Drosophila melanogaster: one gene and its partner. The protein of the gene in region 2 interacts with the protein of the main gene of each other region in a pairwise test. Each region holds a gene or a part of one and is shown on either strand. Other genes may lie near its edges.

The links. The genes of interacting proteins can lie anywhere in the genome.
Region 1: the proteins of uri (region 2) and CG12521 interact in a two-hybrid assay, tested with the Drosophila melanogaster proteins (one large-scale study listed by BioGRID).

Annotation. Positions count from the first base shown.
Region 1 is NT_037436.4:11,846,883-11,851,370, reverse strand, and holds CG12521 (uncharacterized protein), read left to right. Parts: upstream 1-3,567; 5' UTR 3,568-3,656; coding exon 3,657-3,857; 3' UTR 3,858-3,988; downstream 3,989-4,488.
Region 2 is NT_033778.4:24,562,213-24,570,255, reverse strand, and holds uri (unconventional prefoldin RPB5 interactor), read right to left. Parts: upstream 4,703-8,043; 5' UTR 4,671-4,702; coding exon 4,641-4,670; intron 4,571-4,640; coding exon 4,272-4,570; intron 4,216-4,271; coding exon 2,817-4,215; intron 2,765-2,816; coding exon 2,297-2,764; 3' UTR 2,174-2,296; downstream 1-2,173. Other genes in the region: Fcp1 (TFIIF-interacting CTD phosphatase), read left to right, coding at 1-84, 147-1,316, 1,387-1,596, 1,654-1,796; CG11414 (uncharacterized protein), read right to left, coding at 5,480-5,677, 5,746-5,943, 6,011-7,229, 7,287-7,850, 7,914-8,043. UniProt on the Drosophila melanogaster protein: Inhibits the activity of serine/threonine-protein phosphatases flw/PP1beta9C and Pp1-87B. Required for germ line cell viability and differentiation, normal transcriptional activity and maintenance of DNA integrity.

The DNA.
Region 1 (4,488 bases), on a different chromosome or scaffold from region 2:
ATTCAATATTTCATTATTTTCTTTGGGAATGAGAAACACATATTGATAAAGCCAATTGGAAATTCGTTAAAGAAGCCAATATGTACATAAACTAGATCCTTTGTGCTGCCATCACTTGCCCCCTCTGGTCGAAAAGTGAACGAAGAACTGTCGTGGCGAACCTCGTGAATAAATAGTGTGTACTCGTAATTTACTTCCATAGGTTGCATTGATAGGCGTATGAATAAATAATAATAATAAATGTACTAGTATTTAGCCCATAATTGTTTGCAGCTATACTTATTTGGTGTTGTGGCAATGCATAATTTATGCACAATGCGGATACTTATTGATGTTGCTGTACCATGGGGCGTATGCGCGACGCAGCGAGCACCGAACCGCAAACCGAAATCGTTCTTGGCTTGCCTGTGACTGTATTATATATGTAGGGCACACATCAATGATTCACGCAAATTATCGCAATTAAGCGCAATATATTTAATCACAAACATCACACATACATAAATACAAACGAATACTTGTATTAATCATCGAAACGAATTAATTGCAGCAGTTGGCATTTATGCCAGGATCATAGGGTCAAACAACATACAAAACTGTAAGCAACGCCAGCAATTCAATTAAAATGAGATTTTTCACCCTGGCTGCATGTGAATCCATCTGAATATCTGTATTAGGTTAGTTAACAAAACACAAATGAAAAATCGGAAAAACAAAATCAAAAAACGAAATGTTGTTCGTGTATGCATAGCTACATATATACATATATACCACTCGAAAAAAAAAAACGCAAAATAAAAGTAAAATGCAGCAGAAGCAATGCGTGCACTCGAATAGAACGACACGCATTTCCATAAAAATAAACCGGAAATAAAAGAAAAATTCTACAAAAATACATTTTGTTTTTCATTCCTATTTTGGGCTGGTTGTGTGCAATTTATAAGCGTGTGAATACATTAAAACAGATTCAACTTTTTGAGGTATTCTACCAGTCATGAACGTAATTTTGTTAGGTCAGAATTTAATGAAATTAAATATGTAATTAATTTCGCAATATCAAATAACAGTCTTACCATGTATTCTAACCATATACTATCTTTTATGCTCAAGCGATCAAAACCTTTGGATACTTTAGTTTTTATAAGTACTTGCATGTAAATGGAATGAAGACTAAGTTCCGGAATGTCGACCTCAGCTTAGCTATACCAGTAGTACAAACACACGCGAGTCCTTATACAATCGCAGAGTCTGGGGAACATAAAAAACGTTAAGTGGTCGTAAATCAAAATTGTTCAAGAATGGGAAAGTTCGCAAAGTTCCTCTTGCCTTTACTACTTTGCGACAACACGGAGTCCTTTTGCCAATTCGGTCTTATTGTTCTCTTCCCTGGTATTTATTTTCAGATACTCTTAGGCCAAAAAAAAGGAACTCCCAAAGGATCCGGAAATTGGCGACGAGAAGCAGCGTCCTTGCTGTGGGCAACTGCCAATCCAATTTCGTGCATTTGCAGTCCATTGAGTTTCGCTTAAATTTTAATGAAACTAAGCGCCCACCATACAAATAGGAAGCGACACCACCAAGTTTTAATATTCTTGGTTTTTTTTTTAAATTTTTTTATTTTTTTGCTTTTTGTTTAAAAGGTTCTGTTTTGATTGCTTCTGCTTGGCTGTGGACCCCAATCCGCTGGGCTTTTGTTCAATTTGTACAGTTTTCGAAGTCTTAATAGAGTCACTAATTGTTCTGCACAGACATGGTGGTTGGTGGATGAAGCTTGGCTCTTTCAGAAGTCCCACGAGAATGCACGAGTATTGTCTGCGAAAAATGCTTAGAATGGAAGTTATGGGTTAGAATGTGGCATTAATAAGGAAGCCACCTCATTTACCGGTTAAATTAGACTGCAAAATAAAATTTAATTTGTTTATTTAATTCGCTATAATCGAAAATGGTTGTGGTTTTTCGGTCTGCAATGCTAGTTGATTTATTTTAACTCTAATATTTAGATGAAATATTTGCAGCAGCTCTAAGAAGTAAAGTCAAGGGCTCGTAACTTTTGGACATCATCATAACTGCGTTAACGGTTACATTGGCCATTAAAAGTAATTGCCCAATTTCACGGCGTAAACAGCCACGACAATCCATCCACTGGCAGTTGGGAGGCTGTTAAAAGAGAATGGACGTCCCCCAGGCGAAAATTAAGAACTGACCGTTAAGGAGACGAGCACGGCCTGGCATCGCATTCTCATTAACACGCCAGTCCGGTTTCAATTTCCTGTTTCATTTTTCTGTTCATTATAAATGGCTCTCAACATGGCCGGCCAGTCAGTTGAGCCGCCAACTCCGGACCGCAGAAGCAAAAAGCCATAAAGAATGTGCCACGACAACTGCGACAAGTTGATGGACAAAATAATGCCTGATGACATTTATAATGAGCGGAATTTTTTGTTGATTTTCGCCCCTGTTGTTAGTGTTGCAGTTGATAAGTGGAAACTCGCTTCATGTGACCGAAATTTGCGCTACATAGCAGCATAAAATGTGTGCTCTAAATATACCCCAACACCCAACATTCTCAGTCGTTTTATTAAGTATTAATATTAGCATTAGTAGAAGCTTAAATCGTAGATAAAGTATCTGATCCGAATGGAACGCTTCCTTTACAAGGTCAAAGGTGAAGGTTTATTTAAAATGAAATGATAATACTGAATCTGCTTTTTGTACATGAAGAGTTCTCCCTAGATAGATATGATTAATTAGATATATTCGTTTTTTCACGGTAGCTCAACACGTTAAAAATCGAGTTCACTAATTTTAACGAAATTTATATGGCTCAATAGATTTTTTTATGTATTTTTGATGTTTGATCCTTACACCATTTGAATCTGTGATGGGCACAAATGATGAGTCCCAGTCATCTTTCTTCTCTTCTTATCTGCCGTATTCATAAGAAGATGTCGTTCTTACCGCCTTATTGTCTGTGTACCCATTATGGTTTAAATTATATATATTATATATATATATATATATACAGATATATACAGATTCTAGAGACATAGACGCAGCGCTATTTTTTTGACCCATATAGCCACGCCCAAACTTTTGTCAAATTTTTCCCTCATATTATTATTTTTTTTACCGATATCACAAAACATATTACAATTTTTCGTTCACAGTCCCAGCTGAGTAACGGTTATCTAATAGTCTCGTTTTCTTATTATCAACTGAGCAAGTCTCCGACTTGCGAGTAATTTGCATACGAAATTTACATATCTGCAGTCCCCACCCACAACGCCATGAACCATCCTATTCCGGCGTATTGATGTATCGCAACCAAAAATGCAGCACAGCATGGGTGTCGAAGGCAGCAACAAAGGGTGAAACAGAATGGACGGTGACCAACTGACAAGTGACACTTTTCCAATTGAAATTCCCCCTCACCCAGCAACTGCACAACTCCACTGGAAAAACCCGACAAGCAGTGTGCATACATATACGTACATACAATACATACATATGTACATTCAAAGTAGTCCACGATGGTCATGTCAGCCGAGATGTCATAAATTTGCACGGGCACAAAGATCGAATATTCCAAATTGAGCTCTGGCGTTTTGTATTTTGTTTTTTTGAAATTTTCAAATACTGCCGGCTAAGGAAGCACAATGGATGGCTGCCACAACGACATCTTGGCGCCCCTCATCCTGGCCATTATGGTGGCCAATGGACACCCGCTCACCCTGGACGAGATCGTCGATGAACTGACGGCGGTGATCAATTCGCAAACCGAGCTCGCCATTGCGCATGAAAATATTGGAGACGGAAAACATAGCCACAAGTCGTATAAGCCGAGACGAAGGCACTAAGGATCTTAACATGCGTTATGTGCCAAATTTAAAATGCAATAACTTATTCGAGATTTGAGTGAATTTAATCTCTTGAACTATAATTTATAATAAACTGATCGTGTCGGCGGCGACACTTATTTCCGTCCGTGAGTGAAATAGTTATTTAATAAATTTCGAAACAAATGTGCTTAAAAGTGATTAAATACACATTGTACATTATTTCAAGACGGACATATGAAAACTATGCACATGTATGTTGTTTTAAGCTCAAATATCATTAGGGGAAAAGTAAATATTCATAACTGAAAAGAAAATACTTGCTACAGATTGACAATTTATCATTTATTTTAAAGCTACGAGTATTTTTTCATCCTGTTCATTGCCCTCAAGCATCTCAAATTACTGGCTGTAGCAAAGCAACTCTGCATACATTTTTCTGCCTTGATGGGATGTACATATGTATGTATGTACGTACATATATTTTCGTAGGTGGTGGTGCGCGAAGCAGCAGCACGTGTGCAAAATCTACGGACAGAGCGAGTTAAAAGTTTTTCAGCGTCGCGAAAAATTGTTTATGTTTCGCCTTAAAAGGAGCAGGGAAAAATTTCGAATATGTAAAGATGTGTGTGGATTGCTGGAGAAACTACGA
Region 2 (8,043 bases):
ACTTCTTTCAACACACTGGTGACATCAATGCCCCGCCGGGTTTGTCTAAGCATGAACTGGATGGCGAAGGCGTTGACTTTAAAGGTGGGTTGGGTGTTCCAGCAAGCTGACTTGAATGTTTCTAACGATATTTCCATTTGTTGCAGAGATTACCGAGAAGCATGGGGACAAAGATAAGACGGAATCCAGCAGCGAAGTCAAACCAGAAGACACCGATAAGGGTGATAATACCGTCACAAGCACAAGCAAAGATGACGATGTAAACGAGGAGTCAGTAGACGTGTTCGAAATAGAGGGCGATGCCAAGGATCCAGAGGTTTCCAACGCCTCAAGCGCTACAGAAGCACCCAAAGAGCCGAGAGACAAATTGAATGGCAAGACTAATGCTGAGGATATTGTGGTCATAGACGACAGCTCATCTGGCTCACCAGATGCTGAAAAAGCAGCCAGCGATGGCGAAGACGTAGTAGTTATTGATGATAATTCCAAGGAGAGCACAAAAGCCGAGGTGCCCCCCACACCGGCAGAAAAGAATGAGGTTGTAGCCTCATCCACCACTTCGCCGGATGAGAAGCGCCCGTCTGCTGACGCTGATGTGGCCACCACGTCTAAGACGCCCAGCTTACGAGCACCGCTCGAGGGGCAAAAGCAGATAGAGATTGAAGACCCCGACGATTACCTGCTGTATCTAGAGGTCATACTTCGTAACATTCACAAGCGATTCTACTCTATTTACGACGAAACCACGGAAATACCCGATCTAAAGGTTATCGTTCCGAAGATTCGGAGCGAAGTGCTGCGCGGCAAGAACCTGGTGTTCTCCGGCCTGGTGCCCACGCAGATGAAGCTCGAGCAGTCGCGGGCGTATTTCATAGCCAAGAGCCTGGGCGCCGAAGTGAAGCCCAATATTGACAAGGAGATAACGCATCTAGTGGCGGTCAACGCAGGCACCTACAAGGTTAACGCCGCCAAAAAAGAGCCTGCCATTAAAGTGGTCAATGCGAATTGGTTGTGGACCTGCGCCGAGCGCTGGGAGCACGTGGAGGAGAAGCTCTTTCCACTGGACCGCAAGGTACGCAACAAGGGTCGCCAGCCACCCGCCCATTGCCATAGTCCCGAGCACGTGGTTAACTACAGCGAGCGTTCGGAGATCTCACCCTCGAGCAGCAAGCAGCAGGAGGAGCAGAGCGGCAACTTCCGCGAAACGCTGAATCCGCTGCTGGTCTTCACCAACGCAGATATCGAGTCTATGAATAAGGACTACGAAACATTCTTCGAGTCAGACTCGTCCAGCGACGAGGGTCCTGTAAATTTTGGTAGGTATTTTACTTATTAATCCATGTGTCTGTATCCACGTTTAATCGAATACGTCTTTAATAACTCAAGAAAATCCACCAATGGACAAGAAGCTGTTGAAGAGAAAGCGCGAAGATGATAATTCCAACAGAGCTCACGACTTTTTCACGCGAAGCGATGATATAATGATTGGAGCGCCAAACCTCGTGGAGGTGGACATTAGCTCGAACGAGGAGGCCGATGACAATAACGAGAAGGAGGACGATGACGATGAGATGCCCAGCGCCAAGTTTAGGCGAGGTAGCCCGTCCGCACAAAACTTGTGTTAACCTTTTAATATTTGCATCAATGTTCCAGGGGAAGACCTGCCTTCCGACCTGGAGCTTGGATCCGAGTCCAACAGCGAGAAGGAACCGGAGGACGAGGACGACGGCGAATGGAACATGATGGGCGCCGCTCTAGAAAGGGAGTTCCTCGGCCTGGAGGACTTTGACATGTAGAAATTCTGTAGCATCTGTGAACACCAGACAGGGCCATGAGACCCCGCGTTGGAGGCATCCCTGCATCCTGCTGGCCAGACACTCAAGACATATTTGATTCTCGGTAGACCATGATTGAACACAATGGAATGGGCTGTGTCCTTGAGTAGAGCGTCCAACTACACTTATGCTTAGGGTTCGTACTGTATGTATTAGCTGTTAATATGTACTTTAGAATAGCCTGTAAGATAGCGCACACGTGCGGGCGGCCAGGTCCTTCAATCGCGTACATTCTTGAATCAAAAACTCTCATTCTGATCTAATGTAAATTGAAGCCTACTGTAAATGTAAATGTTTTAAAAATAAATTCCGTTTCAGCGGACTAGTACCTAGTGTTTAATTTTAAAACGAATGTACACCACACCAGTAGTTGTTTATTGTTTGCGTTGTGTTTGTAATACAAATTCACATTAAACTTGAACAAATATACTAGTAATATCCAGCTGAAGTTTTACTCTTCGCTACGTTTTGTTAAGGGCTCGCTGCTCCTTGAAGCGGCTAACCCGCTTCTTTGGCGCATGCGAGTCGATGAACTTGCCCGGTGGCAGAGGCTCCGGTGCAGTCGGCTCCTTCTCCACAAGATCATGCATGACCTTTTGGTAGGCGCTCATGTCGCGCAGGTCATCGTCTAGGGTGCGCTCCTTCTTCTTTTGATTCCGGACCTTCCTGCCCTTCTTGGGCTGCTGGTTGACATTATGCGGCTCCAGGTCCACAGCAGATTTGTTTCGTAGGATCGATTTGGTCGCTGATTCAGGGTCAGTAGCGTCGCCCTCCGAGGAATTGGACTTGGAGAACTTCGCTCGGTCCTTCTCATACTTCTCATAGAAATCAAATGGATTTCCAGGTATATCATCACTTTGATCATTACTGGTCGGAGTTATGGAGCCGGAATGTGTGAAACATATTTCCGAAGAATTGGGCTTGGAGAACTGCAAGGCCAGGACGTTAGCTTATGATCTGATCGAACTAACATGATCTTACCTGACTTCTGGGATCTTCATAGGCTGATCCACGTGCAGCTTCGCTCATTATGGGAACTTTAACGTGCTCCTCGCCTTCAAAGCCGTTCACATAGATAGGAAACGAATCATTAGGCCGCGCCCGGTCCTTCTCATACCTCACATAGAAATCAGAGGGCTTTCCAGGTATGCCATCGCTTTGATCACTACTGGGCGAAGGTATGGCACCGGAATGTGTGAAACTTATGTGTAAAGTGTTTATGAGTCCCGTAGACTCTTCCATAATTCGATTGAGTAAATCGAAGTCCTGGACACTCTGGTTTTCCTTGACAAACTCAATGTTTCGTTCTACTTTTTGCAAGATATCCTGGGTTGTTTGACGTTTTGTTTTAATGGATGCGGGTTGTGGATCTCCTGCCGGTTTAAGAGGTGCATTTAGCTTGATGATATCCCTCGAGTTCTTTTTCGCATTGGGCAACATTTCGGCAACGGTCTCCTCCCTTCTGAATTCAAGTTTTTCGTCGTCGAGGGCAAACGAAATGCGACGTTTATTTGTGCTGGATTCAGATACAGTCGAAAGCTCTTTGCTTGGCTCATCTGGAAGATGATTGTTTTCGACAACCTCCTCCTCTTCCTCGCTGGCCTCCAGTTCCTGCTCAAATACCAAGTCCTGTAGGTCGTCCTCTAGCATGACCACCACATTCATCAAGTGAATCAGCTCATCGCTTATAAAGTTGACCTTTTGTATCTTCCTCATTTTTGCTTTAAGTACATGCAGTTGAGCTCTGAGGAACGGCTCACGATCTTCGTTGGGTAGCAGCGACATCTGCTCCCGTATGGTTCGCACCTCTTCCTCCTGGTCACCCTCATCATCATCATCACCATCATCTTCCGATATGGGATCCTGTATTTCCACGTTTCTATTGGTTCCTGCAGTGCGTTTTTTGGAAGATGGAGTTTCTGTTTCTCCGGACATGAGCTGGCGCACTAGGTTATCCGTTGTTTTAAGGCTTTCTTCTGCTTCTGAGCTGAGCTCATCGGCTTCGTTCTGCTCCTCGGCTTCCAGCTTCTTCCACAGCTCATCCTCCTCTTCCTGGGTTAAGGATTTAGGACTACTTTCGTTGGTGGATTTCAGAGGTTCTTGATTCAGCATATCGTGCAGCTGATCCTCGTCGATATTATCTGGATCTAGACCAAGTTCCTCCATCATTTCTCGCTCTTCTAGCTTCCGCAGCACTTCATTATCTTTCTTCACAGGTTCCGCCTCCCGTTCGAGGCGCTCCTTCTGCTTTTGCTGTCGCATTCGCTTTCTGTGCTCCGCCAACCACTTGTTGTGAGACTCCTCGTTGAAATCCTCCACAATTTCTACTTGGTCGCCACTGGGAACCGCCCCCTCCGCAAATGGAGTGTGGAGTTTTTTCCTGTTGGAGGAGCGTAAACATTACTCTTCCCTACTTCTATTTACTGATACACTTACTGCCACAGATCGTTCTCCACGGCCAGCTTCTTCAGCTGCTCCTCGGCCAGCTTCAGGCGGTACTGGCAGATCTCCTTGGCCTTGTGGGAGGAGCAGGCGGAGAAGTAGCCCTCGTAATGACCCACCAGAAGCTCGTTGGTGTGGATCAGCTCGCCGGGCATCAGCGCCTTCCGTCCAATGGGCACCATAACCTCCACGCTGAGATTCTTTGCGAACTTGTCCAAGTTCCGGATGGTGCTCTCATTATCGCGCTTGAAGGCTTCCCAGCGCTCTGTCTCGCTGGCGTTCGTTTGGAGGGCCTGTCGTACAGGGTTCCATAAAGTAATTACCCCAGTTTCTCCATTCATATATGGTAATTAATAACATTACCTGTAGCAGAGCATCCTCTCGCCGGTCCATTGTTATTGTTGTTTGCGACTTTAGTGTGACCGTAGGTCTATCCAAAAAAAATAATCTTCAGTAATGCATTTTCATATAAATAATTATAGTAACATTATAACCAGTAATTAATATGGATTCAGACATTTATGTGTTACGTAATAAAAACTTAATACAAAACAGTGTTAGTTAAATTTGATTTATTTAAAAATGTACTAACGCGAGTCTGCGCGCCTTTATAGATTTCTACCTTCATAATAATTCTATGTAGAAAAATGGAGAATGAGCTTTTCTCGAATTTCATATTCGACAAAAGCTCTACTTTTCCTCAAATCAGAAAACTCAACTACCAAGCATCGCTCCCCAGCTAGCAAACCACGTAGATAAGAGCAGAAGAGCTCCATATGTCCGATAATAAATCTGCTCCATACGACCCAACAACTACAACCAATTTCCATTTGGTGATAACCAATTTGCGACCACCATATGTGGACATTAGATAGGGCGACAGGTTAGGCAAACATACCAGGTGATTACGACTAATAATTGTGATTGATTTGAACTTTATTAGGTTGCGGGCATTTGCTAGACACAAGCTCACTCGTAAATATTAGAAACGCATCCAAGATAAGCTTCTGTCCGGACTAAGTCACATTGAACAGATGGCTTCGTGGGTCGCGCTACATGGACTGATGGGTTCGGCTAGTTCTTTTTCGGGTTTCCACTCACAACATGATCTGGGGACATGGTTCCTAGATGGTTGACACGGTATATATGTACATAGAAAATATACAGGGATAAAGCTTTTGTTGTCCTACAATCCGACCACCTCAATTGCGGTGCGTGTTAGAGGCTGAGCTTCCGAGTACGGGGAAGTTTTTGGTCAGCTCATGCGCCTGCTGGTGGCTCTTTAAGTCGGCGGTGATGAGGATCTGTTTGCACACCTTGCAAACTTCAAGCGCGGGCACGGATTTGCGCTCGGCGGGCGGCAAGCTGTTCAGGTGTTGTTTGTGCACTAGGTAAAGTTCCTGGAAATGGCGCAAATAATGGAGTTACTCTTTATTTACTATTATGTGGTTTTGCAAACGGGTCTTACCTGTTGCTTACTTATGTCCGGCAGCATGGCCAGCAGCTCCGGGAACAGGTTGTAAAATGAGCTCAACATGGCGCACTGGCAGTGCTCGTAATAGGCTTGGCCAGAACAGGATCCGTCGCGGAACTTAGACGAAAGCAAGCGGAATTCGTTCAACGCCTCTGGGGTCTTGAGCAGGGACATAACCTCATCAACCAATTTCTGGACGCAAGACAAATGCTTTTTAAGTTAATGTTTTCTAACTAATTGGCAAACGACGTTAGCTTACCTGATTCCTGACCTCGGTATCTGGTGGATCGGTGTACGTATAGGGGCTGGGTACAATGTCATACGACTCGCCCAGCGAATTGGTGAACGTGAGATTGTTGGGCAGCTTGGCCACCGAGTTAACAGTCACGTTGGACACGAATCCTGGTGGTGGCTTTAGCGGTCCGCCAGGTTTTAAGCCGGGAGGAGCACGTATTGGCGTAGACGGAGCCCCATTGGTTTTTTGTTCGTTGTTATTATTTCTCTCCTTCGGTTTGGCCGTCTTAGGCTGATTCTCCTGGTTGCTCTTTTTATCCTTCTGCTTTTTATCCTTTTTATTTGCCTGCTGCTCTTGAACATTGTTGTTGCTTGCCTTGGGAGCAGGTTTCGATGTTGGACTCGGCAGAACCGGGGCCGGCGCCACTTTGGCCTTGCGATTCTCCAGCTCACGCTGCTTCTTCTCATTAGCTGGTTTCGACCAGTTCAATGAAGGAGATCCACTGCTGGGCTTTGGAGCAGTCGTCCTGCTTGAGCTGGCGCTGGCACTCGGTCCGAGGCTAGGGAATTCCGCCGCAGTGAGTTTGGGAGCACTCTTCTTCAAAGCCTCCTGGCGCGCTTTGGCCTCGTCCTCCTCCTTTTGTACCATTTGAAGCTTTTGAAAGGTGCTCGGGCTAGCCACTGACACGTAGTCATCGGCTAGAGACCGATGCTTAGCGGAGATGTTCGCCATCGGCACTGGCGATCCGCTAGGCAGCATATCCTCCTCCAGGTTGCGCAGATTCTTCTTGTTCCCCTTACCCGGTAATGCAGGAAAGTCTACCTGCGGCGTGGCTGCCTTTTTGGGCACGGCTGCTGATCGATTTGACACATGCAGGAGCATTCCGTTACCGGGAGGCCCACTTCGACTGCCAGAACCTGCCGCGCTTGTGGGTTTCTTAAAGACAGCTGCCACGGGGTGCTGCGATTGAGCAGCCCGGGCGGCAATGCTGCTGCTAGTGGGCCCAGTAACACCACCTCCATTTCCTCCTCCCAGAGCCGGGAAGTTTTCTTTGGTCCGAGCAAGACCAGAAGTTCCACTAAGATTGCGCATCGAGGGCGGTGGCGGTCTCACCAAGGATACGCTGGGAGCTGTGGAAGCGCCTCTCAATGTGGGAAACTGTTCCTCGTTGCCAGCATCAATGCTCACATGGCGCTGGGTGATCGAAGGCAAATCGTTCTGGTAGTCGTTGTGCTCGTCATTCCTGTAAGGTTTACCATTCTAAGAGTGCCTTCTTCAAATTGGATGGCCGCTCACTCACCTGGTTCTCACGCTGGTTATGCCCTGCTCCGTCTGCCCACTACGGCCACGAGGCCCCAAAGTGATCTCCACCTGCAAGGTGCGCGTCTGCTTGGCCTGCTGCTTGTTGAGCGACTTGCCGTGCACGTTGGCCACGTGCGCCTTGTACTCGATTTCGTTGCGGAATGCGCCGACAAACTGCTCGGTGGCGCACTTACCCTCCTCGCAGAGAAAGTGCTCCGCCCGGAAATGTTCCGCCAGATCCGCATAGTCATTGTAGAACTCATTGCAACCATCGGCGTCGCAAAAGTGGCAGAAGTAGTGCTCGCGGCGCAAATGACGGAACAACTCATCACGGTCCACATAGCGTTTATTGCAGTATTCGCACAACGGATGACCGCGATGCGACCGATTGTCCGGATCGCCCTTGGTGTTGTGTAGCTGCAGCTCCGCCTGAGTGTAGCACCTCCGTTCGAAGGTGAAGATATTGAGGGTCTCGACGCATAGGTCACAGTACAGAAGTTTATGCTCGCTGCGAACATGGTTGCGAAGGCCCTCGAACGTGCGGTATGGAGGTGCATCGCATCTGCAATTTAGCGTAGAAGGGTGAGCCTCAATGGTGCAACTCAAGTGCGGGCAGAATACTCACTTCGGGCAGGGATGGTCGAGCAATTTGAAGAATTGCTGTCTTATCTCTGCGGTGCAGAAGCCGATGCGGTACTTCTTGCTGTATAAATCAGAGCGGTTATTTGCCTCCAGTTCGCGATAGGGCAGCTTGT